Arabidopsis thaliana: one gene and its partner. The protein of the gene in region 1 interacts with the protein of each later gene in a pairwise test. Each region holds a gene or a part of one and is shown on either strand. Other genes may lie near its edges.

Region 1 (3,761 bases):
AGACAATAAGATGTCAAACAAATGCTGAAATGTAATCAAAATTATAGAAACGAATTTCATAAAAAAAAAAAATATATATATATATATAATAATAATAATAATAATAATAATAAGATATGTCAATGCATGCTTAGGTTAACAAATTAACTAAGCAAAACTTAAAAAGAAAAAGATGCTTAGTTTATGTTCAGTACAAAATCTTATCAAGCTCATATATGTAGCAAACAAATGAAGCCTTATATGTATCTATGTATATTAATTGAAATATGGGTCTGTGAAATCGTATCAGTACTGTTATTTTACACGTTAGACATTTGAAGACTCTCATACAAAAAAAGGGTGACACACTTGCCAATATTGTAGTGAAAAGCAGCAAACCACAGAGACTCTGAAAGTACTAAAGACATAAAGAACATTTACTGTCTTGTTAAATCTCAGTCTCAGACTTCACAGTCTCAAGTCTCTCGGTTCTTTGTAATGCAATGATTTATTCATGCATCAGTGAGCAAAGACACGTCCTCTGATTGATTTGAAAACAGTATGTATTTATATATATTTATTTACCGATTTAAGGTGAAAACGTTTTTGTTTTTTTTCGAGGAAATTTAGTGAGCAAACCTATTTTCTTTGGTTTTTACCTTTTGGGTTTACTCGGAATAATGAAGGGAAAAAAGAAGTCGATTTACATGGAAAAGAAAACGAAATTCTTCAAAAAGTAATGCGTATTGAGATATGTTAAAGATTTAGATTAATGAGAGTGTGATTAATTAAGAACCTGCATGTTATTGTATCTGTTGAAGGTTTTGAAGCAAACAGGACATGAGAACTGAGTAGGGCCAATGAGAATCTGAGAAGGTGTAGGGATCCAATATTGACCCTTGTTGAGTCTGCTGATTCTACAGCCGCCGTCTCCGCCGACTGAATCTTCATCGTCATCTTCTCCTCCTCCGACAGCTCCGTGGCTGTACTCATGGTCGAGGTCTTTCTTGTGATTCATGTCCTCGTGATGATGAGTGGTCCTCGAGGAAGAGGAAGAAGAAGACATCATGAGCAAAGAGGCCATCTCTTGAGCACTAGGGCTTGGAAGGCCTATGTGAAGAGCAACGGTGACGTCATGGTCATCGTCATCGAGGTTATGATGATCATCTTGATGGTGATGATCGTAGTCGACATCCATGGAGGTTGAAGGTGGTTCTTGAATAAGGTGGTCATGGTTGTGATGGTGGTCTTGTTGTTTGTTGGCGGGGCTGAGGCTGAGGAGAGGGAGGGCTTCTCGGAGAGGAGGAGAAGGAGGAGGAGTTGGTGGCGGCGGTGGACGGCGGAGGTCTCCGGATTGAGGGAAGAAGAAGAAGGAAGAGGGAGGAGTAACAGGAGGAAGAGGATGAGGAGAGGGGTTAGTGGAGGAATTAGGGTAATGGTGAAAAGGATTAGACTTGAACCAGTCTGTGAAGAAATTGGAATAAGGATCAGTCATGGTGAAGAGAGAGAGAGAGGAAGAGAAAGGAATAGTTTTAAGACTTGTGGGATTATCTTTATACAAGAGACATAGATGGGAGATGAAGATGGAGATGGAGAGATTGTGATGGGATGGGAGAGAGAGAGAGCTTTTTTTTTGGGTTGCAAAGAGAGATTTTCTTTGGGTGCAAGAGAAAAAGAGAGAGAAAGATTATTAATTATGGACTGAAAACTAAAAACTGACTTTAACGAAAAAAAAAAAAAAAAGGAACTAAAGAAGCAGGTCAAATACGAATGTGTATTAGTCTACGCAAAGTAATTATTTCATTCAGATATGTAGGTCCTTATTCTTTATAAAAAAAATAAAACGATGGTTAAGAAATAACCAGTGCGGTTAAGACTGTTTACGATGTTTTGAAGATAACATTTATAGATTAGGCAGTAAGCATTAGAAATTCAGATAGTAGATTTTTTTTTTTTATTGGTGATTTGTTTTTGTTAAGAATATAGAATTAAAATAATTTTTTAATCAATTTAAAAGGTTTTCAAAATCTTATAAGTTGTTATAATTATAAACTACAAATCACGTTCTTTAATTTTCTTACTATTATAAGATGTCTTAATTTTCGGACGACATCATAGTCTCATAATTCGTGTGACTGAGAGTTTCTACGTATGATCATGGTAAGTAAACACAGCGTCTGAACCTGCACATCAGAACTATATAACATATTACTTCATTGTATTTTTAAAAACCGTACAAAGATCTAACTTTGGATCCTTATTCAATTTGTGTATCTCTTATACCTGGATCTTATAAGGAAAAAGAATGCAAAACCATTGAATGATGTGAATAATTGTTGTTCGTATGTTCAAGTCTGAATTCACTTAGTTTATTGTCAGACTATGGTCGTTGAAAAAGAGAGAGTAAAACTATGCTTGAATATGACGATTTTTTCATGGTGATTGTTTTACTAATTAAACGAATTAAAGTAAATCTACAAAAGGGGCTCTAATTATATGTATTATCTAATTTGATTAACATTATCAGATTACGTAAGGCTTAATAGCACAGGAACTTGTATTAACATATTTAAATCATAAAAGTCCTTAAATATTCCACATCTGTGGATTATGTACTTAATTAAAAGCATTAGTGGATGCCATTTCATACAAGTAGGTCAAAATGTAATAAAGATGATAATAATAGACATTGAGGATTAGGGCTCGCTTGAAGAGTATACATACATACGCTAAAATACCAAAGACAATAATCTTATAGCCAATATGACAAAACAAAAAGCTATTCGAGTTCGACCTATATTGGCTCCACGGAAAAATTGGAATTTATTTATTTATATTCACTATGAGTGAAACAGGATTAATATATAAAAAGGAACATATTTGACAAAAAAATAAAATAAAAAAATACATAAAGCATATGAGGTTCAGATACATCATACAAAGATAATGTCACTGCTTTTTGGAGATGGCTCTCATCCCAATTCCCAAACAAATTTTCTTATCTTAAAAGCCTTTCCTCAAAAAAAGAAAAAAAGAAGCCATATCTTATCAGTTTGAGACTTAAAAATAGTTTTGAAACAGGGTAAATTTGAAAAATAATGTAACTGTCTAAATACCGATGGACAAATTAATTAAATAAAATTGTGGCGTCATTCCCGACTCATGAGCTAATTAAAAAAAAATAGCATAAATTAGGACACAATTCTGATTTTACAATTTTTGTGTTTGTAGTTTAGAAAAGAAATAAATATCAGTAAAATCTACTCCTATGACCTAGTTTCAAAAATATATAGACAAGAAGAAGGTTAGATAAATAATATCTTTCTAGGTTTAGAAGGACAATATTTCAAAGTTTGTGAGTAGTTTTGAAGTATTATCCCATATTTATGCTAGGTTAGATTCATTTTAGGATATAGATTCACATATAATGGATTTCTTCCTCATAAAATTTTAACTATAAAATAAACAAAAATAAATAAATTGAAAACACACATATGGGAATTCAATAATTAATAAATTTGGTAATCAAGTACGAGGACCCGAGAGAAAACTGGAATGTATGTATTCGTAAAAGTTTTGGGGGGTTTTGATTTTCTATTATTGACATGAATTATTAATTCGATGAACCAAATTATGTAGTTTTGCTTATGTTAATTGTTTATTTATTTTATGAGTTTTAATATTTATATGAGAAAAAAGGGAAGCAATTGCATTGGTGTGCGCATCAATGGTCGGCTTTCCCTCAAACGGTAAGATCATTGAATGTCCAAATCCCCACCGCA
Region 2 (3,761 bases), on another chromosome or scaffold:
GGCGCGAGAGATTAAAGGGACATCTATAAAATTTGACGGCGTCAAGTCAACGTGCAATTAAAAACACCGTCAGAGGTAAAAACGAAGTTAACGGAGATAGATAATATTACACGGCATCCCAGAATAGTTCCACTAATCTAATCCGGGACTCCTCATCTTCTGCCGTCGAATCGGCGATTCCTCCGACGACGACGTCAACACGTCATCATCTTCATCGTCTATCGGAGATGAAAGTGGCGAGGTGGAAAAGATCTCCACCGGAGATAACGGCGGAGACGAATCCGACGATTCAGTCGAAACAGTCAACGGCGGCGACGATTCAGGCGAGATAGTCAACGGAGGTGACGGTGGAGGAAGCGAAGAGTTAACGGAACTAGAATCTTCCGGAAGCTTCCGTTTGTTTCCGTTGGAAAGTTTAACGTCTTTAGTTAAATGACTTCTCAGACGTTTCACGTCGGCGAGTTTCACCGGTTTCAATAAGAAATCTTGAGCACCTTCCTCAAGGCATCTGTTCAAAAATCATTTTTTTTTTTTACAAAATTTTATCAAATCAATCAACAGTTTCTAAAAACTCCAAAATCTGTGAAGAAATCAACAAGAATCACACCTGTCGATTCTGGTCAATACATTCTCCGACGACATGATTACAACCGGAACTTCTCTGAAATTGGACGATTCCTGTTTCAGATGACCGGAAAATTCAACATTGTTACTAAAACAACCGTAATCTGAAACAGGAAAATGGCGGGAAAATGCAGACCTTAATCTTCTTGAGAAGCTCATAACCAGTCATTCCAGGCATACAGTAATCAGTGATGATCAAATCAACTTTCAATCTCTGAAAATATCCATTTAAACTAAATCAAACTCACGAATCGTAATCTTCAAAAAAAACAAAAAGCTGTATCAGATTTCAATAACTTACATCGAATTCAGCAGAAGCTTTCTCATTATCTAACCCTAGAAATTCCAGAGCACGCCATCCACTATCTACCGCCGTAACTGACAAACGATACCACCGGAGATGTAAATATTCCGGCGAGGAATAAAAAAAAGTGAAAGATGTTTTTTTTTTTGAAAAAATACGAACCTTTGCAGGAAGTAATACGAAGCAATCTCTCGATGACAATACGATCAACGAGACTGTCATCAACGGCTAAGACATGAACTTCATCTAAATCCAACGGCGCAGATTCAATTCCTCCGATACCACCGACGCTCATCATCTCCGACCTTCGTAAACAAGAAACACCACCGTCTCTGGCCATAGACGAGCTTATAGTAACTGTGAGGAGAGGATGAGAATAAAATAGAGAGAAGAAGACGAAGAAGAAGAGCTCACATCTGTTTTCTTTTGTTCCTTTCTCTTCCTTAAGACAGTTTTTTATATTTCTGATTTTTTTGTTCTCTAAAATAAATCTTTTATGAGTGTGTCTTTTTGGTTTTTTCAATTTTTATTTTGAAAAATCTCCAGCGAGGAAAATCCAACAAAATCTTTGGTTCCTATTAATGTGAAAATTATATATTTTTATGTGCCGTGCTTTTAGGGTTGAAAAAATTGAACTTTTATCTTTGAAAACAATAGTATTAATAAATAGAGATTTTATGGAAAATCCGGTGGAGGGCCTATGCGAATATCATAGAGAAAATAATATTCCTAAAATCGAATAAATAATAGAGGAGAAGAAATCCGTACAAAGGAATCCAAAAAATAAAAATATACCATCGTGAGATATATACAACTTCTTAGTCAAAATCTCGTCATTACTCATTAGTGTGATTGGAAAAAAAAAACTGAAAATGGAATCACTCACTGTTAAGAATAATAAACCAGAAGATTAAAGAAGCTAATTTTGGTCATACACCATTACAATTCATAGTAGCGTGTTTAAACTTAACCGGCTCGGTTCTTCGGATTGGTCTTATTTGTATTAAGTACTAACCACTAAGACAATTTTATATTGTTCCATGTGATTGGTCAGTTTCTAATTTAAAATTTATGGTTCAAATGCAATTCATAGAATAATATTAAGATCGGGTTTTGTGGGTTGACGAGAAAATTAGTATACGCCTAACTAGTAGTATATCCATCCATATGACTCTAGAAATTTTATGTTATCCAAACACTTTTATTTATATCGTTTTCAAATGGCAAAAAAAAAAAAAAGAAGAAGAGGAAAGTGGACAAATAATAATAAAAAAAAAGGATTTGACGTCCACATTAAAATTTGGATCCGCGGGACCCAGGGAAATCTAAAAGAGGGACCCATAAATATTTTGTTGGGAACAATTTGTATTAATGAAAGGGGGAATTGGACTTTACCTCTCTTCTTCTTTTTTTTCTTTAATCTTCCAAACATAATTTGCTGTTTCACTCTTTTAGACACCACACCGTATCAAATCTTGGAGATCGCTTTTGCTTTCTCTTTCCCACCCATTTATTATATTTTTTTATATAAAATATCATTATTATTTCTTTTTGTTGAAAGGGTAAATGTTTTGATTTTCTATTTTATTTTTAAAAATTTTATGAAAATGTTATGACAATATAGGTGTTTTTAAAAATCTCTTGATAATAAAGAGCTACTATTAAGAAAAAATAGGTATATAAACATGAGAACAATAAATATATATAATGATTCTTTGGCTCTTTATTTTTTCTAGAGAAACAAATTTATTCCAGATTGAATGTAAACTAAAGACGACCAAATCCAATACTATGACATTTTCCTACTTAAAGTTAAAGCTCAAAAGATCAGGTTTCAAGGTTGCTTAGAAGTTATCGATCACAGTCGTGGATGATCAAAGTAGAGTTTTATCAAAAGACTTTTGTTTCTTCTAATTGATAGTGTCTCTAATTTAATCGTTTTTCTACATTAACCAAAAACATCTAACAAAGTAGAAAGAAAAATGACGCGTGAAATAGACAAATCTTACAATGGATATATTGCCCATTTTTATAAAATAATTACGCGAAATTTAAGATTGATTTGAGAATTGATTTTTCAAACGATATGGGCCAACGAATGATGGATCAAATCTTCATGATGTCAACTCAAAATCGAGGGTTGAACAAAAAAATCCATAAAAGTAGTCATCAACGTGTCGCACATAAAATCGTAATCTATCTTTTTTCTAGGAACTTTGGACATCAATTACAAAATTAAAGACATTGACATTTTCCCTTTAATTAATTTTATGTTGGTACTCGATTGAGGTTTGGAGCATCTTTATATTCTAATCATTATTGTAAATATTTTCTACATAGTATAATATATTTGTAGAAATAAAAGTAATTGATTAGTTGACCTAATTATACAATACTCAAAATCATGTACACTTGAATATTTTCATTTTGACGTCTAGATTTTGTTACAGGATCAATGGATCATATAGAAACTCAATTTTAGTCTATACGTACATGGAAATATAGTTGAATCTCAAATCCGAAAATCCAGATTAATGTCAACATAAGCTCATATCTAATCTACAAAGCATTTGTTGGATAACATAGATTGGTCTTTCTCCTTCCTTGGTATCACTCTTATGTTGTCTGAGTTATATCTCCTATCCTATTGATTCTTAGACTTTTTTGTGAGCTAGTAATTATTCTCTTCCAAATTGTGCTCTCTAGCTTTATGTATCAAAAATTTCACCATCAATATGAGGCCATGTTGATCTCGATGAAAACGAAGTTACTCGTTTGTCTTAATTTAAGAAAATTGTGGGCTCTAACACCATATTGCAAAGTTTTTTTTTAT

The links.
Region 2: the proteins of NTT (region 1) and ARR4 interact in a two-hybrid assay, tested with the Arabidopsis thaliana proteins (one large-scale study listed by BioGRID).

The regions. Positions count from the first base shown.
Region 1 is NC_003074.8:21,368,649-21,372,409, reverse strand, and holds the start of NTT (C2H2-type zinc finger family protein), read right to left. Parts: upstream 1,654-3,761; 5' UTR 1,475-1,653; coding exon 776-1,474; intron 1-775. UniProt on the Arabidopsis thaliana protein: Transcriptional regulator required for normal differentiation of the ovary transmitting tract cells and pollen tube growth. In Arabidopsis, the transmitting tract facilitates the transport of pollen tubes to the ovules for fertilization.
Region 2 is NC_003070.9:3,442,492-3,446,252, forward strand, and holds the start of ARR4 (response regulator 4), read right to left. Parts: upstream 1,870-3,761; 5' UTR 1,269-1,869; coding exon 1,091-1,268; intron 1,003-1,090; coding exon 926-1,002; intron 839-925; coding exon 761-838; coding exon of another isoform or gene 679-760; coding exon 608-678; intron 509-607; coding exon 133-508; 3' UTR 1-132.